Ovis aries: one gene and its partners. The protein of the gene in region 7 interacts with the protein of the main gene of each other region in a pairwise test. Links are inferred from orthologs where the notes say so. Each region holds a gene or a part of one and is shown on either strand. Other genes may lie near its edges. The genes, in order: C5H19orf25, FAM81B, SFR1, RIBC1, EPC1, FAM110A and RINT1.

The links.
Region 1: the proteins of RINT1 (region 7) and C5H19orf25 interact in binary tests that used the Homo sapiens proteins (3 or more experiments, as listed by UniProt). The link is inferred for Ovis aries from reciprocal best matches to the Homo sapiens genes RINT1 and C19orf25.
Region 2: the proteins of RINT1 (region 7) and FAM81B interact in binary tests that used the Homo sapiens proteins (3 or more experiments, as listed by UniProt). The two-hybrid records come from large-scale screens. The link is inferred for Ovis aries from reciprocal best matches to the Homo sapiens genes RINT1 and FAM81B.
Region 3: the proteins of RINT1 (region 7) and SFR1 interact in binary tests that used the Homo sapiens proteins (3 or more experiments, as listed by UniProt). The two-hybrid records come from large-scale screens. The link is inferred for Ovis aries from reciprocal best matches to the Homo sapiens genes RINT1 and SFR1.
Region 4: the proteins of RINT1 (region 7) and RIBC1 interact in binary tests that used the Homo sapiens proteins (3 or more experiments, as listed by UniProt). The two-hybrid records come from large-scale screens. The link is inferred for Ovis aries from reciprocal best matches to the Homo sapiens genes RINT1 and RIBC1.
Region 5: the proteins of RINT1 (region 7) and EPC1 interact in binary tests that used the Homo sapiens proteins (3 or more experiments, as listed by UniProt). The two-hybrid records come from large-scale screens. The link is inferred for Ovis aries from reciprocal best matches to the Homo sapiens genes RINT1 and EPC1.
Region 6: the proteins of RINT1 (region 7) and FAM110A interact in binary tests that used the Homo sapiens proteins (3 or more experiments, as listed by UniProt). The two-hybrid records come from large-scale screens. The link is inferred for Ovis aries from reciprocal best matches to the Homo sapiens genes RINT1 and FAM110A.

The regions. Positions count from the first base shown.
Region 1 is NC_056058.1:41,554,046-41,558,315, reverse strand, and holds the start of C5H19orf25 (UPF0449 protein C19orf25 homolog), read left to right. Parts: upstream 1-1,470; 5' UTR 1,471-1,687; coding exon 1,688-1,817; intron 1,818-4,270.
Region 2 is NC_056058.1:92,331,285-92,335,447, reverse strand, and holds the start of FAM81B (protein FAM81B), read right to left. Parts: upstream 2,801-4,163; coding exon 2,791-2,800; intron 2,403-2,790; coding exon 2,263-2,402; intron 1-2,262.
Region 3 is NC_056075.1:24,378,832-24,382,887, forward strand, and holds the start of SFR1 (swi5-dependent recombination DNA repair protein 1 homolog), read left to right. Parts: upstream 1-1,256; 5' UTR 1,257-1,322; coding exon 1,323-1,335; exon of another isoform or gene 1,336-2,432; coding exon 2,433-2,548; exon of another isoform or gene 2,549-3,103; coding exon 3,104-3,514; exon of another isoform or gene 3,515-4,056. UniProt on the Homo sapiens protein: Component of the SWI5-SFR1 complex, a complex required for double-strand break repair via homologous recombination. Acts as a transcriptional modulator for ESR1.
Region 4 is NC_056080.1:51,298,218-51,301,717, forward strand, and holds part of RIBC1 (RIB43A-like with coiled-coils protein 1), read left to right. Parts: intron 1-3,011; coding exon 3,012-3,125; intron 3,126-3,500.
Region 5 is NC_056066.1:32,590,651-32,594,150, reverse strand, and holds part of EPC1 (enhancer of polycomb homolog 1), read right to left. Parts: intron 1,678-3,500; coding exon of another isoform or gene 1,661-1,677; exon of another isoform or gene 1,561-1,660; intron 919-1,560; coding exon 800-918; intron 721-799; coding exon 634-720; intron 1-633. UniProt on the Homo sapiens protein: Component of the NuA4 histone acetyltransferase (HAT) complex, a multiprotein complex involved in transcriptional activation of select genes principally by acetylation of nucleosomal histones H4 and H2A.
Region 6 is NC_056066.1:59,933,525-59,937,464, forward strand, and holds the start of FAM110A (protein FAM110A), read right to left. Parts: upstream 2,801-3,940; 5' UTR 1-2,800.
Region 7 is NC_056057.1:48,154,293-48,158,509, reverse strand, and holds the start of RINT1 (RAD50-interacting protein 1), read right to left. Parts: upstream 2,801-4,217; 5' UTR 2,691-2,800; coding exon of another isoform or gene 2,649-2,690; exon of another isoform or gene 2,264-2,648; intron 2,206-2,263; coding exon of another isoform or gene 2,160-2,205; intron 711-2,159; 5' UTR 674-710; coding exon 568-673; intron 1-567. UniProt on the Homo sapiens protein: Involved in regulation of membrane traffic between the Golgi and the endoplasmic reticulum (ER); the function is proposed to depend on its association in the NRZ complex which is believed to play a role in SNARE assembly at the ER.

The DNA of each region.
Region 1 (4,270 bases), on a different chromosome or scaffold from region 7:
GTTAACCTATACTGTTGAAGACTGGCTTGGAGGATGCTTTGTTAGGCAGTCAGAGAAGCCAGCATTGGACCGGACACCCACCCTTTGTGCTTCTAGGCTCTGCGCAAGGAGGCTGATGTTGCTTCCTTCCTCATTATTTAACTTATATGCAGAGTACATCATGAGAAACGCCGGGCTGGAAGAAGCACAAGCTGGAATCAAGATTGCCGGGAGAAATATCAATAACCTCAGATATGCAGATGACATCACCCTTATATAGCAGAAAGTGAAGAGGAACTAAAAAGCCTCTTGATGAAAGAGGAGAGTGAAAAAATTGGCTTCAAGCTCAACATTCAGAAAACGAAGATCATGGCATCTGGTCCCATCACTTCATGGGAAATAGATGGAGAAACAGTGGAAACAGTGTCAGACTTTATCTTTTTGGGCTCCAAAATCACTGCAGATGGTGACTGCAGCCATGAAATTAAAAGACGCTTACTCCTTGGAAGGAAAGGTATGACCAACCTAAACAGCATATTAAAAAGCAGAGACATTACTTTGCCAACAAAGGTCCATCTAGTCAAGGCTATGGTTTTTCCAGTGGTCATGTATGGATGTGAGAGTTGGACTGTGAGGGAAGTTGGACTGAGTGCCGAAGAACTGATGCTTTTGAACTGTGGTGTTGGAGAAGACTCTTGAGAGTTCCTTGGACTGCAAGGAGATCCAACCAGTCCATTCTAAAAGAGATCAGGCCTGGGTGTTCTCTGGAAGGACTGATGCTAAAGCTAAAACTCCAATACTTTGGCCACCTCATGTGAAGAATTGACTCATTGGAAAAGACTGATGCTGGGAGGGATTGAGGGCAGGAGGAGAAGGGGACGACAGAGGATGAGATGGCTGGATGGCATCACTGACTTGATGGACATGAGTTTGGGTGAACTCCGGGAGTTGGTGATGGACAGGGAGGCCTGGCGTGCTGCTATTCATGGGGTCGCAAAGATTCGGACACCACTGAGCGAGTGAACTGAACTGAACCCCACTTCAACTCGCTCAGTCTTGTCCAACTCTTTGCGACCTAATGGACTATGCAGTCCATGGAATTCTTCAGGCCAGAATACTGGAGTGGGTAGCCTTTCCCTTCGCCAGGGGATCTTCCCAATCCAGGGATGGAACCCAGGTTTCCTGCATTGCAGGCGTATTCTTTACCAGCTGAGCCACAATGGAAGCACAAGAATACTGGAGTGGGTAGCCTATTCCTTCTCCAGGGTATCTTCCCGACCCAGGAATCGAACTGCGGTCTCCTACATTACTGGTGGATTCTTCACCAGCTGAGCTATCACGGAAGCTCCAGCCATTCTGCTCCAGTGTACTGAAACTCTCTCGGGCGTGGCCCCTTTACAGAGGGGTTGGCTTCGCGGTGGGCGGGAACCCGAGGAGGCCGGAAGTGCGCTTCACGTGCCTATAGGGCGGGCCCGCAGGCCGACCGGAAGCGGAAGTGGCCTCTCGGCAGCTGTGGCGGCTGAGTACCCGCTGCCAGGTGGAGCTTCTGCTGGAAACTTGTCTTGAGTGGAGCCGGACACTGAAGCCCCAGACCGCGTGCTGTTCTGCCTTGGGAGGAACGAGGCAGGGCCGGCTTCGCCGGGAGCGGGACTCCGGAGCAGGGCGCCAGGAACTGCGCGGTCAACGCTCTTTTCTCCAGCCTGCAGGGATGGGCTCCAAGGCCAAGAAGCGCGTGGTGCTGCCCACCCGCCCGGCGCCCCCCACGGTAGAGCAGATCCTGGAGGACGTGCGGGGGGCTCCCGCCGAGGACCCCGTGTTCACCGCACTGGCCCGGGAAGGTAGGGGGAGCCCAGGCCATGCAGGGGAAGGGCGGTCCCGAGACCCCAGCGAGAAGGGAAGCACCTGGCTGCTTTTGAGACGCACTAGCAGAGTTAAATGGTCAGGACAGAGACTGTCTGGCCCTACAGTGCCCAAAATACTTAGGTCTGGCCTTTTGCAGAGAAAGGGTGTCCACCCCTTGTTCAGAAGATAAACGGAGAACATTGATTGCAGGGGCCGACATACAGTTGTAGTCTGAATACTGTGTTCTCTATGAGGTTCGTTTATTCGTTCAGCCTTATTGAGAACCTCTTATGGGCCAGGTTCTATTCTAATCACTGAGGTGGTGAGGTGAGACCTGAACGTTGAAAGTCCCTGGGACTTCCCTGTCCGTCCAATGCTTAGGACTCTGCGATTCCACTTCAGGGGGCATGGGTTCAATCCCCGGTCGGGGAACTAAGATCCTACATACCACATGGTACAGCCAAGGCTCGGGGAGGTGGGGGGGATGAAAGTGCCTGTCCTCAGGCCATTCTAGTGGATAGAGAGGATTAGTATGAGGCTTGTGGGATGTCAGAAGGTGAGAAACACGTTGGGATTTTTTCGGGGGGTTCGTCTTTGTGACTTTTTTTTTTTTAATTAAAGTATAGTTGGTTTACAGTGTTAATTTCTGTTTCATAGTAGAGTTACACATACTCATTCTTTTCCATTATAGTTTATCACAGGATATTGAAAATCCTGCACTATACAGCAGGACCTTGTTGTTAATCCATTCTGTACGTAATAGTTTGCATATGGTTATCCAAAACTCCCATTCTTTCCACCATCCCCCATGCCCTCTGTGTGTGTTGTTCAGCCGCTCAGTCGTGTCCAACTCTTTGTGACCTCATCGACTGCAGCACGCCAGGCTTCCCTATCCTTCACCATCTCCCGGAGTTTGCTTAAACTCATGTCCGTTGAGTTGGTAATGCCATCCAACCATCTGATCCTCTGTTGCTCCTTTCTCCTCTTGCTCGAAATCTTTCCCAGCATCAGAGTCTTTTCCAGTGAGTCAGCTCTTTACATCAGGTGGCCAAAGTGTTGGAGGTTCAGCATCAGTCCTTCCAGTGAATATTCAGGATTGATTTTCTTGCTGTCCCTCCCCCTTGGCAACCACAAGTCTTTTCCTAGGTCTGAGTCTGTTTCTGTTTCATAGATAAGTTCATTTGCATTATATTTAGATTCCGCATATAAGTGATATCATACAGTATTTGTCTTTTTCTGACTTACTTCATTTAGTATGGTAATCGCTAGTTGGATCCATGTTGCTGCAAGTGACAATATTGTGCTTTTTCACTGCTGAGTAGTAATCCATTGTGTATATATACACCATATCCTTTTTTTTTTCTTACCGTACCCTTTTTATTCCTCTATCCATTTATCTGTCAGTGGACGTTTAGCTTGCCTCCATGTCTTGGCTGTTGTAACTAGTGCTGCTGTGAACATTGGGGTGCATGTTTTTTTTGAATTGTGGTTTCATCTGAATATATTTGCACAGGAGTGGGATTGCTGAATCATATGGTACCTCTGTTTTTAGTTTTTTGAGGAACTTCTGTGCTGTTTTCACAGTGGCTGCAGTAGCTTATATTCCCACCAACAGTGTAGGAGTGTTTACTGTTCTCTACACCCTCTCCAGCATTTGTTTATTTGTAGAGGTTTTTTTTTTTTTTTAATATTTATTTTATTTGGCTGTGCCAGGTCTTTGTTGTGTCATGTGAACTCTTAGTTGCAGCATGTGGGATCTAGTTCCCTGACCAGGGTTTGAACCTTGGCCCCGTGCATTAGGAGCATGGCGTCTTAGCCAGTGGACTACCAGGGAAGTCCTTATTTGTACAGTTTTTAATGATGGCCATACTGACCTGTAGGAGGTGGTACCTCATTGTAGTTTTGACTTGCCTTTCTCTGATAATGAGTGATGCTGAGCATTTTTTCATGTGATTCTTGACCATCTGTATGTCTTCTTTGGAGAAATGTCTATGTAGGTCTTCAGCCCATTTTTCAACTGGGTTGTTTTGTTTGTTGATATTGAGTTGAATGAGCTGTTTGTATATTTTGGAAGTCAAGCCTTGGTCAGTCACATCATTTGCAATTATTTTCTCCCAGTCTATAGGCTGTTGGTTTCCTTTGCTGGGCAAAAGCCTGTGAGTTTGATTAGGTCCTATTTGTTTATTTTTGCTTCTATTTCTGTTGCCTTGGGAGACGGACCTAAGAAAGCATAGGTAAGATCCATGTCACAGAATGTTATACCTGTGGTCTCCTCTAGGAGTTTTATGGTGTCATGTCTTATATTTAAGCCTTTAAGCCATTCTGGGTTTTTTTGTGTAGGGTATGAGAGAGTGTTCTAACGTCATTGACTTACATGTGGCTGTGGGACAATTTGTTTTTAAATTAAGTAACAGTAAAAATTCTGTTCTTTGCTGCACATGGCCACATT
Region 2 (4,163 bases), on a different chromosome or scaffold from region 7:
ACCCCATGAATCGCAGCACGCCAGGCCTCCCTGTCCATCACCAACTCCCGGAGTTCACTCAGACTCACGTCCATTGAGTCAGTGATGCCATCCAGCCATCTCATCCTTGGTCGTCCCCTTCTCCTCCTGCCCCCAATCCCTCCCAGCATCAAAGTCTTTTCCAATGAGTCAACTCTTCGCATGAGGTGGCCAAATTACTGGAGTTTCAGCTTTAGCATTATTCCTTCCAAAGAAATCCCAGGGTTGGTCTCCTTCAGAATGGACTGGTTGGATCTCCTTGCAGTCCAAGGGACTCTGAAGAGTCTTCTCCAACACCACAGTTCAAAAGCATCCATTCTTCGGCGCTCAGCCTTCTTCAGTTTGTTTTCAAGGAGGCTAATATAGAACACCACCTGACAACAGGCTCTCCTGGCCAGCCGACTCAGTGGAAGGGACCAGAAAAAGCTTGAGGCTGTGCAGAGGGAGCCAGTGAGCCATTTAATTGTGCTTCAGACCCTCTCTGCCCAATGTTGAGTGGAGTTCACCATGAGTCTGGTGCTCCAAAGCCAGGTCTTTGCTAGAGAATGGGTTTATTATACTGATGCCCTGAGCACACAGATGTCTGTGGTATGGAAACCATCCCAGCTCCTTGGAGAACAGGATTGGTCTTCTGCCCTGGTTTGTGTTTTCACTCTGGATTCCGGCTGGAACAGTGCTGTGCCATGGGCTCCCCATCTGCTTAATGCCAGCTCTTTCCTTCTCACCCCTCCACAGCTGCAGCCCAGCCTGTGGGAGCTTGTCTGTGGGCTGGTCCCTGGCCTTGTATGTTCGGCACCTCCTACTCTTTTGTGAGCACTTGTGGAAAGAAAGAGTGCGATGCACATTGCGTCCAAGGACAATGACTAACTGGGCTATTGTCTTCGTTTCTTCTTTTGAAGTAAAGCAGTTGGATATATATCTGTTTTATCTATTTATTTTTTAAATCAGTTTTATTTCGCTCATTTTAAAGTTTTGCTTTGGAAGACAATAAGTAACATTCTCTTAAAAGCATACCTGCAAGTCACATACTTTTAAAGTAATAAATGTTAAACTTGACAATTCAGGGAAATTTGGAAAAATATAGAAAAAGTAAAAGATGCAGAAAAAAACAATCCTAGAGCAAAAGCTGTTAACATTGGGGCATAATCTATTTACTCTTTGTGCACTTTTTTAGGTATTTAAGACTAAGGTTTTATATTTTTGCTAATTGAATATAGGAGTCAGCTAACCCACTGGATTGAATTGAATATAGGAGTCAGCTATTCCTACAAACTAAGCATAATTATATCAAAATTGCCTCATAAACAACTGTGATTATCACAGGACATTTAGAAGTATTAGTTTTCATTTGTTTAGTAATAATGCTTTGCAATATAGAATGGACTATAAAATATGATCACATATATGATGTAATTTCATTCTTGAAACAGCTCTGTGAAGTGAGAATCATTAACTTACGGATAACAACAGTTACCTTAAGTAACTGAAATCCTTCTTTATTAGAGAAAGAATTTAAGATGATTATTTTTATAGGTGAGAAATCTGAGAATCAGAGAAGCAAGGAACTTACTCAGCATCATGCAGCTGGTGATAATGGTCAAGCTGAGTCCTTCCTACCTGCCTTTGCCTTAGAGGCTCATTCAAGCTCCACATCTTAGGATAGGCCTAATCAGCCCATTTCACATAAGAGGAGGCAGAGAGTTTTTAAGTAACTGGGTCATGCAGCCAATATGTTGTACAGCCAGTAGATACCAAAAGTCATTGCTTGCCATTATGCTAGCTTTCCGGTCCTCTTCCCATCACAAGAGGCTGTGTCCGCTAGTCAGAATTATAAAGCAAAGTCTGAAAACACTGCTTATTAGAGTGTTTTTTAAAAAATTAATGGGGAAGATATGACAAGTACATAACAATAAAAATTTTATTTAGTTATTTTCTTTTTTGTTAGAGATAACATCCACAATTTGAGTTCCTTTTAAATCTTCACAAAAATAAATAATGATCAAATTTCTAGCTCCCCATATTAAAAGTCAGTCCAGTGAATGAACTGACAAATCGAGATCATTTTTCTTTGCAGCTTGTGCTGGCCTCAGTCATTTTTTCAAAGCAGAACAAACAGGAAAGGTTAAGAGAGTGAAAAGGAAAGCAACTCTTCCTGGACTCCTGAGATCTCTCTAAGCAACATTAAGCTTTAAAGAAGCTGAACAAAATATCCTATTTTTCATATGAATATCTAAGAGTACTTGCTTTCTTTTCTTGCTCACTGGCTGAGCCAGGAAGGGGGCCATCAGGTTCTTCTGGCTGTTCCTTGGCAGCGGCAGTCGGGGAGGCACTTTTGTTTACATCCGTCTCTAGGCAACCAGAATGCTGAATCAGATCAGGAACTACTGCAAATGAAGTTTTTGCAGTAGTGGCAATTGTTTATTTTTCAATTGAGGGCAGTTTCTGAACATACAGTGAAATTAAAGGGAGGCTTCCCATTGTTTCACACGTCTTTCCCTCCTTCCTCTCCTCCCCAGTTCTCCCCCAGGTCCGCATCACACCTACAGAACAGCTTATCACCTCGGATACTGCCATGAGACAGTCAGGAAACTGCTAAGAGGCATTCATCTAGGTCAGACTGATAATAGGCAATGATTCCTCACCCCATTGTGCCGAAGCCTTCTGAGTACCTACTTCAGGATTTATTACCTTGTTTGTATGTAAAAAGAAATATAAGTAAGCTAGCCAAGAATGAGACATGTAGAGTCCTTGAGTAATCCATGAGGTAAATACCTGAACTCATGACGCTTGATTTCCTGACTTCATTTTTTTGGAACGGGAACAGAGGTTTTTATTTTCTCTCTCTGAAAGCCAAAGTACTAAGGAAATTTGATTGCATCCTGACCAAAGTCTTCATGTTTCTGGGGCATCTTGCTGGGTGGCCCAGCGGCATTGTGACTGCAGGGAGGAACTGTGATGTCGATGGGGTTGGGGGTCCCCACACTTTAGGTGCTGGATTTAGGGGCTTCAAGTGTTTTCCTTAATGCTCATTGTAGTAAAAATCGCTAGATCCTCCCCACCTCTTTGTCTCAATCAGTGGGAAGTGGTTATTTTTAGACCAATATTTCATACCCTTCTGCTCATTTCCCCTTCAAAGTTTGAGAAGAGACCAGTTTCCATCAGATTAAACAAAGAAATGAGATGCTGCCCTACTCCCGAATCTTTTTCCCCAAGTATGCTAGTTAAGGCAGCTAACTCTTCTTGGGCTCCAAAGTCATTGCCAATGGTGACTGCAACCATGAAATTAAAAGATGCTTGCTCCTTGGAAGAAAAGCTATGACCACCCTTGAAAGCATATTAAAAAGCAGAGACATTACTTTGCCAACAAAGGTCCATCTAGTCAAAGCTATGGTTTTTTCACTAGTCATGCACAGATGTGAAAGTTGGACTATAATGGAAGCTGAGCACCAAAGAATTAATGCTTTTGAACTGTGGTGTTGGAGAAGACTCTTGAGAGTCCCTTGGACTGCAAGGAGATCCAACCAGTCCATCCTAAAGGAGATCAATCCTGAATAGTCTTTGGAAGGACTGATGCTGAAGCTGAAACTCCAATACTTTGGCCACCCGATGGAAAGAACTGACTCATTGGAAAAGACCCTGATGCTGGGAAAGATCGAGGGCAGGAGGAGAAAGGGTCAGTTGAGGATGAGATGGTTGGATTGTGTCACCAACTCGATGGACATGAGTTTGAGTAAATTCCAGGAGTTGGTGATGAATAGGGAAGCCTGGGGTGCTGCAGTCCATGGGGTCGCAAAGAGTCGGTCATGACTGAGTGACTGAACTGAACTGAACTCCTCCAGGCCACTAGGTGGAGTATTACAAAGAATGCTACAGTGACAGGTGGGTGGGTAGACAGGCTTTGTTTGGTTGTTTGGCTTGTTTCAAAAAGATGTGGACTGTTTTAGCTCTGAGGTATTTTCCTGACTTTTAAAATTAGAATTTGCATATTTTGCTAATACCGCTTGGCCCTCATATACAGAAGTGATGTTACTGGCTGAGTCACTTTTCACATGATGGTGCTGGTTTGCCTTGCTCTGTGGGCATGCGTGACATTCAGAATACTAAGTGACAAATTTTGATCCCATAGATAAAAACATGCATGATTT
Region 3 (4,056 bases), on a different chromosome or scaffold from region 7:
CTAGGAGGACTGATATTATATCCCCTCTTTATGGATGAGGAAGCTGAGACACAGACACATTCCATTATAAACAACACAAAGGCGCTGGGATCTGAACCTAAGCAATTGGACTCCAACATTTATGTTCTTAATCACTGCATTAGGTGGTCTTCAAGTTCTGTAGATACATTCCACTGTTTAGCACTCAGTTATTCCGTCTGGGTCCTTGCTACTTGTAAGCCATTTATATCAGATATTAGTAAAAAGACAGTGTCAACGTTTAAAATGGCTATTCCTTAGAATTCAAAACACTGCCCCGCTAAAATTCCCAACTTCCACGTGACTCAGAAATTACTCAACTGTCTTTTCCCAAACTCAGTGCTCCACCCAATTAGTTCACTTTGTTGTTGCACAGCAACGGAACCTCGCTACACAGGAAACGAGGAGGGTTATTTTAGACCGAGGATGCCACTGCCCAGTATTCAGCCAGGGTTTGGACCAACCTAATCTTAGTCATTGTTCTGCTTCCTGTATTGCACCCCAACGACTTTCCTTGGGCTACATTTTCTTTCAGGTTTGACGAAAAGATTCGGAGCCAAGCTAAGAAACCTAAATTTTCAGACAGATTCGCCAAAAGAAGGAAGAGAAAAAAACAAAAACAAAAAACCACCCGTGGCGGGACCGCAGACTTTGAGGCAGCAGTCTAAAAGAAGCTCTACTGGTTCCGCTGGGGTTCTTAGATTTCTAATGTGTCTGACTGTCAACGGGCCATTGACCCATCTTTTTGTAGTCTTTGCCTTTGGAGTTTACAAGCTGTAAATATAACACACAGCAGGCCCGGAGTCTCTGGGTCCCGTGGAATCTGAGAAAAGGCCTTTGCTGTGGGGAGCGCGAAGAGACTGATGGGAGCTAGGAGAACAGGAGGGGCATTCTCAGGCGTCCTTTAGAAACACAAAACCCAGGAAGCTGCAAAGGAAGGCGGTATGAAAAAAGAGCGAGAAGAAGCCGCGAAGAAAAGCGCGCACCTCATGGGAACCGTTAGTTGCTTTAAAGCTCTTCCCAGCAAACGGCCGCGCGCGCAGTGCCGCGACTCTCGGGCGCTGGGCGGAGCAGAGCCGCGCGTATCGGTCAACTCGGCCAATCACGCGTCACGGCCCCTCCGTTTCGTCCTGCCCCCTTGCGGAATCTCGAGGCCGCGCGCGCGCAGTCCCGCCTCTCCGGGCGCTGGGCGGAGAGGACCTGTGTGTCAATCAATCTGGCCAATCGCGCGTCTCTTCCTCCTCCCGCGCGGCCCGGCCTCTGAAACGGCGCCGCGGCTAGCGCGCTCTTTGTGCTGTCTGGGGATGGCTGAGGGAGGTACCGTGCGGGGTGTGGGGTGGGTGTCTGACAGCTGAACTTCTTCGGGGTTCGGATGGGGAATTGAATAATGCTCCCTTTCCGCGGTCAAGGCACCTCTCAGCTCCACCTCAGGTTTTGGGTGTCTCGAGGGCTCGTGTGGGCCTTCTGTAGTGGCTGGAGGGGAGGGAGGGCTCCTCTGGTATTTTACCCTGTAAAGTTGATGGCCTTTGAGAAACTTAAGTCTCTCCTTTTCACGGTCTCTTCGCTATTTAATTGAAAACGATGCAGACAGGAGTAAACTTACCTGTGCTTGTGCTCCTTATTCCTCACCCCCGGGGGGCGTTAGTTTTAGGCACACAGCTTCTAGGATTTAGGGTAGTGTGACAGGTCTGATTATGTTTATTTAAGTGGGATAGTAGTGGGAAGTAGGAGAATGTGATCCATAATCAAGAGGAAGAGTAATCAATAGATAAAGGCATAAGATGAACTCAATTTAAACACCGAAAAGCACTTTAAAGAAGTTATAAATATATTTTTTTAATTTTAAAATATTGTCTTCTGTTGTGGCTCAGCTGGTAAAGAATCCGCCTGCAATACGGCAGACCTGGGTTCGATCCCTGGGTTGGGAAGATGCCCTGGAGAAGGGACCGGCTACCCACTCCAGTATTCTGGCCTGGAGAACGCCATGGACTGTATAGACCATGGGGTCGCAAAGAGTCGGACACGACTGAGCGATTTGCACTTAAAGCACTAAAGGATTTCAATTACATTTTCCTTCATTGTGAAACTGGCTTAATGAGATTAAAGAATTCCTGAATGTTATTCTCCTCCCCGCCTACCCCGCCCCACCACCATATGGCAGGTTTTGAGACTTTTATCAGTCAGTAAAAACAAATGGAGAGTTGTTTATATGAGATGCTAGCTGGGTAACTTGTCATGAAAAAACTAGTAGTCACCATAATGACCAACAATCTAATTTAGGGAAGTAAACAGAAAATTGCACGCAAAAAAGCAAGAATGAATCACAGCTAAGTGAAAGGAAGTTGTTTAAAATTGAATATATAGAGGTGTGGGCAAAGTTGATTTCTGTTTTGTCATTATTTTCTGTTTTTTAGAAGTAAAGCAAGATTTCAAGATGGAAAGTCCATCAAACTCGGCTTTGATGTTACCTAGCACTCCACAAGCTGGTGCCAATCCACCATCTCCCCATTCAAGTAGTTCAAGAAAACAAGTATGAAAATCTTAGTTCTTTCACTGGATGTATATTTCTAAGTATTGCAGTAATGGTGGTTTTAAGTCTACTGAACATTGTCAATAGTGTGTAGGTTAATAAATAAAATTTTTGTTAACATCATTTTAGGTGTTTCCTTTTAGAAAATGTATTGGACCTTCCTCTTAGATTTTCATCCTGACTCAATTATTTTCATTTATTTTCAGTTCAGGTTATTACAGCATTCCAAACAAAAAGTTTGATGTCATGGAGGTCTTTGGTGGAAAGATCTTTTTCCTTAATTTGTAACTAAGCACCTAACCATATCAGGCTTGGACTAATTGCTGAACAAATGTTTGTGATTACTGAGTAGAAGAGTGCTGGCTTAAAAAGAGAATAAAACTTAGTGGAGCTTCCAGAAATTGAAAGGTATTTTGTGATGGTTACTTTAGATATATGGAGACAGAAAGCCATCTAGTGGTGTCTGCCACAGAAATGTAGTCTTGATTCCTAGTAGATTTATTTATATCAAGAATGTTTTTCTTGATTGACATTAACGTTTGATGCCTTTTTCAGCCTATGAGTGCAACCCTTAGAGAACGATTAAGGAAAACCAGATCTTCATTTAATTCCTGTTACAGTGTGGTAAAACGGCTTAAAGTAGAGAGTGAGGAAAATGATCAGACTTTTTCACAGAAATCAGCACCTTCAACAGAAGAAAACTGTTTGGAATTTCACGAAAAATTTAAACACATAGATAGTGAATTTGAAGAAAGTACATATTTGAAAGATACCTTCAAGAATATCAATGTTTGTGAATCTAAATCACTTGATGCTGAGCCATCCAGTGATCTCCAAAATGACTTTATGAATGAGAATCTTGCCAAGCATGAACTAAACAAAGAAAAAGCAGAATTGATGAAGCAGATTCACGAGAAAGAAGATCTTCTTCGGAGGCTGAAGCTAGTCAAAATGTATAGATCAAAGGTGAGAAGAATTTCAGAGCCGTTGCCTAATAATTTTTTTGTTTGTTTGTTTTTAGATAAATGGTAGGAAAATATTTCAAAAAGAAAATACAACTTTATTTTACAATACTTAGAAATAAGCCAATTACCAAGAGACCTGGCTTCCAACAACTTTAACTCAAATATAAGTCATAGATTTAGAGAAGAGGCCTTAAACACCAAGTATACATTTTTGAAAGCCCCAGCCCACATTTAATATGCAGTTGAAGCTTTTCCCTCTAGTTTCCATCCCACAGCAGTATTAGAAGTTTCAAATGTTAGCTGCAAATTGCAATGAGAACAGAAGCAACAGTGACAGTGAAGAGAAAAAGGCTAAAAATGGGCCACAGAGTACAATAAAAAGTATTTTTAGTAATGATTTTGTGTAATTAAATTATTACCAACAAATTATTAAAATGTTTCATGCATTTTCTTTTAAGAAAACAACAAAAATATAATAAATTTTAGATCTCGATCCAGGTAGGTTGAAATGAATAGAATTTGGGCACTTGGAAGATGACCCTT
Region 4 (3,500 bases), on a different chromosome or scaffold from region 7:
GTCAACTAGGCATTCTCAAATAAAACAAGCACTTCAGCTATAGCCAATCAAATAATTTCCTTGTTTTCCATCTCTTTAAACATCTTTCCTTAAACTCTTAACCACTCTGGTTTGGCAGTACCCAATTTGTTTTCTGCCCAAATAAACTCTTAAAAAATGTTTCTAAGTCTCAGCAGCTCATAAAGACAGGTTTCTCACTCCACTTCTTGTCCATTGTGGGTTGGCTACATCTCTGCTCTGTCTTCACTCCAGGACCAAGACTGAAGGGACAGCCCTCACCTGGGACATTGCTGGTCCCACAGCAGTAAAGAGAGAATATGGCTATCACTTAATGGCTCTTAGTTCTGCCTAGGAATGGCACTGTCAGTTCTCACTTTCCAGAGGGCAAAGCAGATTATGCGGCTAATCGTGAGGGCAATATGATAAGAATATAGAATCCTGTAAGGACGGATACCAAAGAAAATTTTTTGGGGGCTTTGTGAGATCTTAGTTCCCCACCAGGGATCAAACCTATGCCCCCTGAAGTGGAAGTGCAGAGTTCTAACCACTGGACAGCAAGGAAATTCCCAATAGCATATCTTTTTGAAAAATAACAAAATTTTCCATACTATCTGTATCTATCAATGGGTATGGACCTCTCAAACTCAACACCTCCAAAACTGATCTCCAGATTCTCATCCTATTCTATTCTCTCCATACAGACTATTTAGTTGATAGCAATGCATCTGACTGCCCCAGCCCAAATCCTTGAAGTCATTCTTAACACTGCTTCCTCACAGCACACCCAATCCATCAGGAAGTCCTGCTGGCTCTGCCTTCAAAATATATCCAGAATCTGACCACTTCTCCCTACATCTGCTGCTACTAACCTGGCGTGATCATCATCTCTTGCCTGTACAACTGCAATAGCCTCCTGTCTGGTCTCCCTGCCTCTAGCCTCCCTTCCCATCCCCTCCAGTCTATTCTTAACACAGCAGCCAGAGCAATCCTTTACAAATCAAAGACAGGACACATTACTCCCACTGCTCAAAATCCTCCAATGGCTGCCCATTTCTCTGAGTAGAAGCTGCAGCCTTTACAATGGTCTGTGAAGTCCTACATGCTCTGCATCTCCCCACCCAATCTAATGTTATTTCCCACTCCTCTTTCATTCACACACTTGCCTCCCTGCTGTCCTCTTGAATGTGTGTGTGCCTCTTTTGTCCACCTTAAGGCCTCTGCACTTGTTCCCTCTGCCTGCAGTGCTCTCCTCCTAGTTATCTGTATAGGAGACTCCCTCACCTTCTTCAACTATTTCTTTCCCAGTTATGCCTCCCCTGACTTCCATATTTAAAATTGCAACACTCTCCCCGTTTCTTTAGCACTTCCAATTCCCCTTATCCTGCTCTATATTTTTTCCCAAAGCACTAATCATCTTCTTACAAACTATTTAATGTACTCTCTCTAGTCTTGTCTGTCCCCACTAGAAAGTAACTTTCACAAGGACTCAGATTTTTGTCACTTTTGCTCCTTGATGTCTCTCAAACGCTTAAGGGATTGTCTGTCAGTAGGCACTTCATGAATATTTGTTAATTGATAAATGAACATGGGTGAAAAAAACAAGATGCAGAAGAATGCATACTGTGTGATACTCCATCAAGTTTCAAGACAAAATATTTTTAAATGTTCAGGGAATCATACACACACATATGGTATATTAGTGCATATTATTAAGGGAATGGTGACATTTTGGATAGTGGTTATTCTTAGGGTAAGGATGAAGAAGAACAGACATAAGACACTTAACTAGTATTAATCGTGTTCTATTTCTTAACTAGGGAGTTGGTTCATGGGTCTCTTTTATCATGCTTCCTTTTCCTAAGTTACATATGGCTTATATATAATTCCCCTGTGTGCATCAAATATTTTAGTTACAAAATGGTTAGACAGTGAACAAGTGAGGTTGGAACTAGCTGTAGGAGTTGATGTATGGTATTCCAAACAAAGGAATGCAATGTACAAAGGCCCTGAGGTGGGAACAGTTGTAGTGTTGGAGGACTTAATAGGAAGCCAGCGTACCTGGAGAACAGTAAACAAGGAAGAGGGAGGCATGAGATGAACCGGAGAGGTATGCAGGAACCAGATCTTGAACCACAGAAAGGGGTATGGATCTAATTCTAAGTGTGGTAGGAAGCCAGTGGAGGATTTTAAGCAGGTGTAAGACATGATCAGATTTATGTTAGCAAGAGATTTTGGCTGTGGCTTTGGCTGGGCTTCCCAAAATACAAAGGAATGCAGGCAAATTTAAGCCTTTAATTTGACTAGAGCATAAGTAATAAAAATAAAGGGGGAATGGTGGTGGCATTTACTGAAACAGAAAAAACTAAATAGAGCCTAATGCAAAAGGGATGTTGTAAATCAGTTTGAGACTTGGAAAGGTGAGCAGGAATCAGATCATGAAGACTCATAAAACCAAAACATTGGGGAACAATTTGGTTTATGCCATGCGTGCATGCTCAGTCATGTTCAGCTCATTGTAGCCCACCAGGCTCCACCATCCACTGGATTCTCCAGGCAAGAATACTGGCTCGGGCTGCCATTTCCTCCTCCAGGGGATCTTCCCTCCTGCATCTCCTGCACTGGCAGGCAGATTCTTTACCACCGAGTCACCTGGGAAGCCCCCTTGCTTTATAGATGCTTTCAAAGGTTTTAAGCTGCGGTGTGCCATGGTCAGATTTGCTTTCAGAAAAATCACTTTGGTAGCCAAGGCAGAAAAGCAGTAGAGAGCCTAACACTGGAGCAAGGGAGCCCAGTGAGGTTCCTGGGAACATTATCTGGCCACCAGCTTGTGAGGCCTCAATTAGGGTTTCGACAGCAGAGATGGAGAACACAGATATGAAATATGTCAGGAAGTAAAATCAGTAGGAATCAATAGCTGGTAAGATACTGTGGGGAGAAAGGAATGGGGGGTGGGGGTATAGTCAAGTATGATGGTTAGCACTAATTGGCCATCCAACTCGCCCTTGCTCCAGATGTATCAGGTAGATCTGCCACCAGATCCCAAGGAGGTGGCACCCACCGAAGCTAGAAATCAAGAAAAGGAGCGACAGAGTCGATTCTTCAATGTGCGGACCAGAGTCATGGGGGTGAGTGGGCAGTGGGGACTTTCTCTGGACCAGGGGTCACCTCACTCTTACACCAGGAGAGGAACATAGCCGTGCCCATCACAGCCCCTCCCTGATTTGAGCAGACTGCAGGGTTATAAAGGAAGGAGGAAGGGAAAAAGGCACCCACCCCAGCATGTGGTGAGGGCCTGAGAAAGAGGCCTAGAGGTGCAGGGGAAGAGGAGCCAGTGACAGCAGACTCTTCTCCAGTCAACTCTAGGCCAAGTGGTCTGGTTTTCAAGAGACAAGTAAATGGAGCCAAAAGAAGTCTATAAAGAATATTTGGTATTGCATGCATATGCCAAAACTCTCTGGAAGGCTACATAAGAAACTGGTAACTGATGGGAGGGACACTTA
Region 5 (3,500 bases), on a different chromosome or scaffold from region 7:
ATATAATATGAAATTACCAAAATAAACCTTTAAAATGTGGAAATGGTAAACCTCCAACACAAAGTGTTAAACAAGAAACATGCTAGTAAAACATTTTGGTGATTTGCAATGAATCACTGCATGAATAAATTCATATAATGAATGGGTGAGTAGGCAAAACTCCCTTCACCAAACTTACACACATACATACACAACCTAAGGCAGCCAAGGGACAGTAAGGTGACTACCCCTTTAGAACAGAGGAACAAAACATCAATCGCATCCTAACTCAGCCTAGAGATTAAGAGGCCCCTTGAATTTTTTAAATGATATTTTCCTCTCAGATGTCTAGAGACACAAATCTCAGCCTTCCGTTAAGTTCTATAAATGTGCTTAAATGGCCAATATTTATCATGCTTTAGGTTCAAAAGTGATTTCTTTTAAGAGTAAAAGAAGTTATTTTAGCATAATTTTTAATACATTTTAAGAAGAATTAAAAGTTCTCCAGATAATGAGCTGGGTGGGGCTGTAAGTTAAAGAGGTACATTCACAGACTACAAGATCAGGCTTGAGGACAGGGTCTCCATCTCATTTGCGCTTTTAGGTTTTACTTTTTTACAATAGGAAGCAGAGGGTGACAGCTTCTATACTCACCTGTAATGTTCTTTCTAAACCCTGTATAGAGTGGCTATGATGTAGATTCAGGCGAAAGCCACTTTTCTGCTGGTTAGATGCAAGGCTCTATGACAACAGTTGGTAATTAGAGATGAACTCTGGTGGGAAACATGAGGGATAATCATAAGACAGACAAATCCCTCACCTGTGGCATGGTGGTGGCGGAATTACTACTTGCTTGCTGTTGCTGAATTTGTGCAAGCTGCTGTTTCTGCATGAGTGCCAGCTGCTGTTGATGTTGCTGGTATTGTTCGGCTGTAAATGCTGAACATAAAACGAGAGAACACTTTATAGAAACGCACAGCTATCACATGCAACTTACAATATACGAAAACACATTTAAGCATTTAAAAAAATTTGCGCAAAATGAAAGCATTTGAGCATCCTGTTAAAGATCACTTCTGAATGAGAATTTCAGCATTTTTTATAACCACGCTTGACAAGAGTGGCTTGAGTTTAAAGAGAAATAAAGTGAAACTTTGAGTTGCACATACCAAAGAGAAGTGCTCACTTCCCAAGCTTTGAAACCATTATTTTTTTGGTAAGCTGTGACACTTGTGCCAGACAGTGTAAAAGGTAATACCAGCTTTTTTCAACCGCATGTTGGAAATTCAGCTTTGCACTGAGCTTAAGAAGAGATACAATAATTACCATCTGGTGTCTTTATTTATTCATACTACTGTCCTAATCCATTCAGATGATCTCCAGCAGTTCTGTGCAGAAATACTAGCTGTTCTACATAGTTCTGAATTTTAGTCATTACAAATATTTCCTCCATATGAAATATAAGGTTGTTGGTTTATTACCTTTTTTTTTTTTTTTTAAAAAAAGAACCCATCCTTTAAGTTTAACAGGAAGAAAAGAGGCTCCAAAGGTTAATTAATTTTCCCCACCCAATTAACCCACCTGGAAAAAATCCAGTCAATAAGAACGGAGTTGTTTATGTTGGCTTACTGTACAGAATGATGTCTGAGGAAAGACACTGTGTTATGCTACTTATGTTTGTCTATGGAGAGCTCAGTTCTAAAAAAAACAAACAAAAAAATGTTCATTTATTACCCCCCCAAAAAGTGTGTGCAGTTTTTAAAAAGGAAAACCTTTTTCTTTTTTTTTTTTGCCAATTAAAAAAAAAAAAAGAAAAAAACGTACATACAATCACAACATCTGACTTTAAGGCTTCTTTAAGAAGCCTGTGGTGTTTGGGTAAGAATTATTTCAGAACAGAAAAAAAAGGGTTAGCATGCATCCTCAGTCACTAGGGAATCTATAAACCATGCATATTCCCTCAATCTAAGGTTTAATGTCTTCAAAATACTGTCAACTAATTTGTCATCTTTAAAGATGTTTTGATAATTTATTTAGAATATTACATCATCAAGTTTTGCAATTTTCCCTTATAACTCATGAGAATCTTTATCTTCTGGGGCAGAGTTTCTGCCTAGGACAACTAGAAAATACTTAGCTAGAAGTTAGGTAGAAATTCTACCATATTTTAAACAAGTCAGAAAACTGTGACATAATATTTCAGAAAACCTCTGAAGTTGCAGTACTTACACAGACTTTCATACTTGAGCTGAACTAATTTCCTGGGTTACAAAGGCAAAAAATCATTTGTTGGAAAAACTCTACCATTTATTTTCCTATTTTTGGTGTTACACATCTGTTTAGTTGATATATGTCCTGTGATGAGATTCTTCTTGTTATTTAGTCAGTCATGCTCGATTCTTTTGCGACCCCATGGACTGTGTCCCCAGGCTCCTGTGTCCACAGGATTTCCCAGGCAAGAATACTGGAATGGGTTGCCATTTCCTTCTTCAGGGGATCTTCCTGGCCCAGAGACTGAACCCATTATCGCCTGATTGGCAGGTGGATTCTTCACAACTGAGCCACCAGGGAAGCCCTGTTTTTTTCCTACTATGTTGGTAATCCTCAGCTCTGAACTCTGCAGGAAAAATTCTTTTTTATTGATAAATACATTTTTTTATTGCTAAAAGGATAATCCATAAATAGTTTCATAAAAGCAAGTTTCTGTCAAAATGACCATTTCCATATAACAGAAATAAGTTAAATCAGAACTTAAAAAAAATTTTTTTTAAATAAGGCTGTCTTGAAACAGATTACAATTAACATAATATTTATCTTTATGCTTAAAAAATTTCATAAAAAGAAACTGCTTAATGCCAAAAAGACAATTTAAGTATTGCTAATATGTTTTTGCATCATCTACTTTAATTTCCTAAGCTTGAGTGAGTTGCCTAAATCTTGAATTTCCTGGTAGGAGATGCTTAATAAACTTGAAAAAACAACAACAACAACAACAACAAAAAACCCCATTACTGGAAGGTTACATCATTACACACCTAAAAAACAATAATTTAGCATTCACTAGAATAGATCTGTGTTCAGAACTCCATTTATATGAATGAAAATATTCTTTTGCAGAACTTTGCTGGTGTTTGTGACTTAAAATTAGCAATATTAAGTTATAAATCGATTTCAATAAAGGTTCCAAATATTTTACCCTATTTAAGTCAACATTTCAGTCCTCAGTCTCTGAGGGTTTTGTGAATTTCATTTTTTAAACAACTGTTAACTTCCTAATGCAGATCTAGAAATTAAAAAAAAAAATGCGACCAACACTTTAGATCACTAACACTCACTGTGATTTTAGATCCCTATGTTAGCCTATTTCTTACATATCTCTAAACTCCAGAGTCTAGTTATAAAAATTTCCCTGGACATTTCTGATAAATGTTCTAGAAGAAATGCACAGTATCATATACACCAGAAGTGATGGTAGTAAAAAACATGGGTCTAGGGGCCAAGAGATACTGATTTTCCTTTCA
Region 6 (3,940 bases), on a different chromosome or scaffold from region 7:
TATGACATTGTGCACTTCCACCTCACCCCTCCCTTCCACCTGCTTCTCCTTTTCCTTAGCAGAAGTCCAGCCCAGACTTCGGTGGAGACAGAGAGGCCCTCTCCTGCCCCAGAGGGAGCCAGGAAGGCTCCAGGCAGCAGAAGACTCCAGGACAGCTGCCAGGGCCAGAGACACCCAGCTGGGCATCCTCCAGGCCCACGCCAGGCCCCACACTATTTCTGGAGTTTTCCCAGATGTTCGTGCCCTGGCCTGCCTGCAGTCAGCCTTGCCCAGGGCAACCTTGCACAAACCTCAGGAAGAGAAAGGTAAACAGGCCACAGAAGCGGTGTGGGTGCAGCTGCCTAAGGCAGCAATCTCCCGTTTGGCCCACCAACTGCACACCTCCACCAACTCAGTCCTCTGGGCCTCAGGTCTGCACCTGAGCTTGCCAAATGAGGACAAAGGGACTCGCAGTGCAGACTAAGAGAGATACTGCGCGCAAAGCCTTAGGGAAGGGCCTGGCACACAGGATGCGGAAGGTGGAGTTGGGACAGACCCACAACCAAGCCCACTTCCTGTCCCGGACTGCCCTCTGCCTGGGCCGAAGCGCACCATCATGGCTTCTTTTCTCGGCGCAGAGATGTCAAGAACCTTGTCCAAAGTCACAAGAAAGTTAATGACAGATCATAGACAGGGCAGTGGTCTCATGATTAGATAAACAATCTATAATACACACATATTTTTTCAACCAGGTGATACATGTGCATGGCTTAAGATTCATAAGCTGTAAAGGAAATTAAAAAAAGAAAAACACCTCCCTCCACTCCTATCCCCAGCCACCCAGTTCCCCTCCCTGCAAGAATCATTATGATCAGATGGTTATATGTCCTTCCAGGGAGATTTCAGGCACATACAAGCAACAATGGACATATATTCTATTTTTTTTACACATAGCAACATGTTCTGTGCATTGTTTTCATTTATTCTTTCATTGAATAATATATGTTCTTAATATGTTATTAGCATGTTATTAATTATAATGTTATTAACAAAATAATATATGTTGTACTACATAAAGAGCCCATCAGTCCCTACCAATGGCCACTGAGCGTGTGTCTAGTCTCTATTAAAAACCACACTGTGGGACTTCCCTGGTGGGCCAGTGGTTAAGAATCTGCCTGCCAATGCAGGGGACATGGCTTCTACCCCTGGTAGAAGATCCCACGTGCCATGGAGCAACTAGGCCACAACAAAAGAAGCCTCCAAGTTCTAGAGCCCATGATCCACAGCAAGAAAAGCCACCACAATGATAAGCCTGCAACTAGAGAAAGCCCAGGCAGCAACGAACACCCAGCCCAGCCAAAAATAAACAAATAAATAAAAGAGTTCTCAGGCAGAGCCTTAAAAAACCCAAAAACCCCACACTGTGGGCTCACTGCACCTATATCATTCTGCCCAGAAGTGGGACAGCTAGGTCAGGGGGTGCATGTGTAATTGTGACAGAGATGAGGGACTGTGATCCAGGGAGTTGATCTCCCACCAGCAGAACACACAAAAATGATCAATAAATGTTAGCATTAGTCATTTTGATTCCTAGGGCTTTGGGCACCCCTCAGTTTCACACTGGAGGCGATTACCTCATTTACCTCACCCTAACCCTTCCCTGCAACACATTCCAGTCCGGGAAGATAATAAACTCGCTAATAAGTGAAATTATAGGACATTGGATGGGGTAAATGCTACTGAGAAAAACAAAATAGACAAGGCAGAGCATATGAAGTGAGTAAATATTTGTTGAAAGAATGAAGACTTGTTTTCTTTCTGAATTTCCAGAGCTCTGCTCCCTTTAAAGCCAGGAGACTGGTTTGGAGGAGAGAGGATAAATAATTCCCCTTGAAGAGATTCTAGACTCCCAGATGCTACAATTCTGAGTGTCTAGGATTCTAAGATGGAAGCCAGACAGATTGGGAACCAGCCCCAGAGTTGCCAAGTCTGACCATGTGGTTTTGGGCAAAGGGGCTTAACTTTTTAGAACCTCAGTTTGCCCACCTACGAAAGGAAACCCATAGCAACCAGCAGGTGGGGAGGGGGTTCCCCAGGAGGTAAGGCCTGGTGTAGGTCAGATGCTCTACCAGGAGCGGTCCTGGGCCCAGGACCAAGTCCAGTGTCTCTGGTGACTAGCGTCTTTGGCTGAGGGCTGTGCCTACCCTTTTGCCCAACCCGCAGTAGATTCCCAAGAGTCCTACAGCAATTCCAGGGCCAAAGCATCTGCTCCCCACCTGGCACCTAGCTCAGAAATGTCAGTCCTGCCTGAGCCACCCGTATCTTCTCTCTGAGAGGGAGAGCTCTGTAATTCAGAGCCCTGCAAGCTGAAGGATCTCAAGTGAGCCCCAAGTCCACCCCTGGCTTTCTGGAGAAATGAAGACAGATGGTGGGGAGAAGACCCCAGGCCGACGCTGGGGAGAGGCAGCCTGGAGCGGATGCAGCCAGGGCTCTCATGCTCCTGTTGATCAGAGGCTAAGAAAGCGACCACCAGTTACCTGTCAGGGTCTCTCAAGGCAAATCTAGAACTATTATGCTAGAGACTGCGAGATGGAGCAGAAAGATCTGAATCAGATTCTCTGCCAGACTTCGTCTTTCTGAGCCTCAGCGTTCTCATCTGTGAAATGGGGTACCCTCGTAGGACTCGGAGAGAACACGCACCGCAGGGGTGAATACAGCGCCCCCTTACACCCGGGTTCGCGCCCCGGACCACCCGTGCCCTCACAAGGAGCCTCGCCTAGGCGAGTCCCGCTCCTCCAGTGTGGGTCTTGAGGAGGCTGACAGCTCGGACCCAGTCAGGCGGGGAATGGCCGCACCCAACACGGCTCGGGAGGCCCAAGCCCCACGTGAGGACCCGCGGGGGCCTCTTCGGAGCTGTGCTCCGCACCCGAGATAAGCCGGAGAACCTGACTGTCCCAAGGTCCCAGACAGAGCGAAGGTCTGGGGGCACAGAGGGGAAGCGAAAACCCCGGGGCACCGGGGGAAGGGGAAATGAGCGCGTCGCTTCACCCCCCTCCCCGACACCAGAATGGTTTGCCCCGGACATCCTGATTGGTTTCTCGCTTCCGTTCGAACTCCGCGCCGCCCGCATTGCCAGGCAACGGCTTAGCTTCGGCCTGGCGTGGGAGCGCCCTGCCTTCTCAGTCCCTCCCCGCCCTTCAGCTTCCCGGTGGTCTCAGGTTCTTTGAGCAGCCCCTTTAGCTCAAGCGGCTAATTCTTTCTCTTGTTCACCCGGGACTTAGCTGATGGACGGAGGACCCTGGTGGGCCCAAGGGGTCGCTAAGAGTCGGACACGACTGAGCGACTTCACTTTCACTTTTCACTTTCATGCATTGGAGAAGGAAATGGCAACCCACTCCAGCGTTCTTGCCTGGAGAATCCCAGGGACGGGGGAGCCTGATGGGCCGCCGTCTCTGGGGTCGCACAGAGTCGGACACGACTGAAGCGACTTAGCAGCAGCAGCAGCAGTCCTGACTTCAGCTGACAGGCTATGTGAACCAGTGCAAGCCAGTTTTCCTGTCTGTTCCTCTAACTGCTCAATGCTGAGCAAGTTAGTGTGAAGATGGGCATGCCCAGCAGTCCCGAAATTTACTAAGGATGTGAGCGAAGATTAATATGCCCTGCGTTCTTTATCATGGCAAAATAATGAAAATAACTTAAGTGCTCAGTGAAAGGAAATTGGTTATATAAATCCATCCTGCGGAAGAACTGAATTTATTGAGGTTTTTATATATACCAGAAGCTTTGCATGACAAAACTCTCATCACTGCTCATGGCATAACCCTCTGATAAGTACCTTTAAATATCCTCACTTTTTGCTGAGGAATATTATACAGTCATTAAAAATGATATGATTAAAATATATTTAGCACTAAGAAAGATTGAATTTTTCAAAAGTATGTTTCAAAGCACTATGTAC
Region 7 (4,217 bases):
ATGTAAGTGATATAGGATATTTGTCTTTTCCTGTCTGACTTATTTCACTCAGTGCTTATTTTATACGTAATAGTTTGTACCTCTAGATACCCTACCCCTATATTGCCTGTCCACACTTACCTCTCCTCATGGGTAACCACTAGTTTGTTCTCTGTATCTGTGAGTCTGCTTCTCAAAAATAAAGTTTTAAAGAAACAGCAATGAAGGGCAAGAGGTTATAACAGCCTCATTAGAAAACAACAGCCACTTCTGACAAAATGAAAGAATATCTAAATAAAGATATGCTTAAGTGTAAAATGTAACTATCAGCAATTAACATAATATATACCAGTGTTTAACGCTGTGTATATTCCCCTCCCCAGCCCATAAATTTTTTTTTCTCCTTTGTTCTATTCAATTTATAAGAATTAAATGCTTTTTCCCATGCTATGAGAACCAGTAGCCCACTGGTAGGTAGCAGCAAAACTAATAAAAGTCTATGCCTCAACTTCCCAACTATAAATTCTAACATTTGCCCTGCCTACATTTAAAAGGTTGTAAGTGGGACTCTTAACACAATATTCTTACCTTCTCCTTCAGGTATGATCAGAATTGGCTGGACTGCATCAAACTTTATTACTACAGGAATCCATATACTATTATGTACAGGAGTCTCAATGCCATGTCTTTTCATTTATCTTACATAAAACATGTAAGTTTGTGTGATGTATCTGCAGACACAGAGGCAGGACTATGGGCGGAGGGAATATTTTGTGAACTCTAAGCTTGCTGTAGCTTATAGAGTAAATTCTACCTTCACTTTTTACAAAAATATTATACTTTTTTGATTTAACCATTTAAATGCACCATAGTACATTCTTATTCAAATAACATCCTTTAAAATGACCCACTGGTAATTTTCGGGGGTGGGGAGGGAGGTGTTAATGTCTCTCCTCTATTTTTTGTAAAGCACACTTTTAATTGCAGAGAAATTGACCAAGCCACCAAAGGAGAGACAAAGATAAAATCTACAGCTCAGTGGCATCAACTTCCCAAGCATATGAATGGGGGAAAGGTGGAAAGGGAAGGGTTTAACTGAATGGTATGAGATCCTCTCAAATCCTTTGCCTTTAGGTAAAAGGAGCTGAGTTGTGGCAGCTGTGACTGCCAAGTACTATGAAGTGCTCATAGCTTGCTTTCTGAGACAGACTGTAGCAACAGGCAATGTTAAGGGTAAGTCTAAGTCCTAATGCCAATATGGTAACATGGGCACCCTGTCTGTTACCACTACTCATTCCCAGACTATTTGCCATGGTCAGAAGAACCAAAAACTCTTTGATGGAACAGCTGTTCCATGCTTCCCCCTTCCTCTACCCATAAATTTCACTTCAAAAGCCCTTGATGATTTCCCAAAAGCTTGCCACATTTAGCTCATTAAAGTAAAATGCCAAATGTTCACAGCCCTGGCATGTGCCCCTGCAGGTAGTAAACATTGACCTTTTCCCTTTCCTTGCCCAGTTCAAGATCCAGGAACCAGGTGATCTGTTGTGCTCTTCCCAGATCAATGTTAACTGCAAATTCACTGAAGGTAAAGTACAACTAAACAATTATTATTTGACTCCTTTAAATGCAACTATGATGATGGTCATCTCTCCTAGATCATTAGCCCCTCCAAATTCCTGATGCTTAACAAGTTGATGCTTCATTAAAATAACAGGCAGGCCCCAATTATTCTGAACCCAGTGGAAGGGCAGCACTGGAGTGAAACCACACCAGTCCTTGCACTAGGTAGGGATCAGGAAGTGCTAGTCTCCAAATTACCCCACATTTTACACAATCTTGAAAGTCAAAAATATGTGCATGATGATTAGTATTTATTACTATGCAAGACTGAAGAAAAATGGAGAGGAAGGTGGCCCAGGATGAGATGGTTAGATAGCATCACCAACTCAATGGACATGAATCTGAACAAACTCAGGGAGATAGGAAGGATGGAGGATCCTGGCGTGCTGCAGTCCATGGGGTCAACAACTATGCAAGCAGGTTGTACAAAAAGGAAAAAACGATACTTTATCTAAAAGATTAACAGGCTAATAAGATCCTTCTGGATGCAGACCCGAGAACCGAGTTTTGGAGCGATGGCTGGGTGCAAAGTGCTAAGGTGTTTGGAATCTGCTTACTTTTCTCCTTGAGGTTCTTCTTTTGGTCACCATTTTCAGAGCAGCACTAGAAGGAGAACAGGTAAGACAAACACATCAAGACTGACGTGACAGGGGGAACTCACACAGGGCTCTCAGGGGGCATCCAGTGGAGGACAACTTCTCAACTTCCTGGGAGGCCAGAGTCTGGAGGTTCCCAAAGGGCCACGTCCCTGGTGCCACCACTGTCACATCCCCAGAGAGCTGGGGTTACCTTGCCTGGCCTCCAGGGACACCTCTCCAGAACGATCTAGGTCATATCACCAGGGATCGCCAGAGCTACCGCACTGGGGCCACCTCCCCCGGGAGGTCTGCCACCTTGCCAGAGCAGCAAGGGCCATCTCCCCGGGGTCACGGCAACCGCGTCCCCAGGCCGTCAACTCCACCTCACTGAGACACTCTCCCCTGGAGGTCTGTGCCACCTCACTGGGCCACCAGTGTCCCCTCCCCGGGTCACCAGGGCCACCTAACCGGAGTGACGGGTGCCTCGCCGCTCTCGCCGGCCAGGAGCATCCTGCTTCCGCGCGAGTCGTCTGCTCCTTGCGCAGCCAGCGTGGCCAATGGACTCTGGCTCCCGCCAGCGATCAGAGATGAGCCTCGGAGACCGTAGCGCCGGACGCCACGGCAACTTCCTGCACCGTCTCTCTGGTTTCTTCCTTTCCTACCAGAGAGGCTCTGCCCGTGCAGCTGCCGGCCGTGTGCAGAGGCTCCCCCTGCCGTCCGGGGGTCGGATCAACCCCTCTGGAAGGAGAAGCGGGGGAGAGGAGGGGCGGGGACGAGGTCTTTCTCAACCTTGGTAAAATCTTCTCCACTGCATTGAGGTCATTAATGATGGAGCTTGAAGGTACCCCTCCCTCCACATAAATTCCACTTAAGTCATTTCAACTTATATTTCCGATGATATACCAGATGTTCTGAGAGTGTGAGGGGGCTTGTCGACTGGCTTTAATGTAATTTGGTTGGACTGTTTTAGCTGCGGAATCTCCAATGTCTTTTATCTTTGGATCCTTCTTTTACCGCAAATCAGATACACCTAGAGGTGACCCTCCAACTTCCTACCTGGTGGGTGCAGATCACATTCCGATAGCTGAAAGGAGGAAAAGGACTCGGCATCTACTATATACTTCGCCCAGTGCAGAGACCAAAGAAGTCTGTTCTTTGCTAGGGAGGAGGACTAGGATTGCCATCAAGAGTTAAATAGCGAACCCAGGGATTTGACGACTTCAAAACAAACGTGCAAGTGCTACCGTGGAGACTGAAGCAAACAGGGGCAGGGGAAATAAGCAACCCTTAGAGAAAACAGAAAACATTCAACGAGGAGAAAACTTTATTTATATCCTGAGATGCGTGACCCCCATCGCAACCATAAAGCAGTAACAGTCTACTATTTTAAAAGGAGCATTTAGAGACAAAAAAATATAATAGTAGAAATGAAAATTTCAGTAAAATAGTTTTAAGATCAATGTTGGGAAATATCCTGGGCGGGGCGGGGGGGGTGCGGTTCGTGGGGGGCAGCGGTGGTGGTGGTGGGAAGCAAAAGGTCAAGTGAGTAAAAAATAGGAAAGAAAAAATAAATTAGAGGACCACTCCAGGGGGGTTAAAATCCAAAAAAATAAGAGTTCTAAAAGAAAAACAAAAACAAAACAGCGATTAGGGAAAGAGTAATCACCAGCAAAACAATTGAAGAAAATTTCTCCAAACCAAAGGTCAGGAGTTTCCAGATTGAACTAGGTCCCACTGAGAGCCAAGCACAATGGATACAACCTGACTCATCCCGTGGCTTGTCACTGTGAAACTGCAGAACGCTGAGGTCAAAAAGACAACCCTAGGCTTCCAGAGAGGAAAAAAAAAAGAGATCATTTAGAAAGGATCAAGAATCAGTATATCATTCAATTTCTCAGTGGTCACAAAGAAACCCAGAAGACATCAGAGCATGTCTGTCAAACTTCAAAAGAAAATTTATTTCACACTGAAATTCTGTACATAACTAGTAAACTACCAATCAAATATGGATAAAGAATAAAGGTGTGTTCAGACATT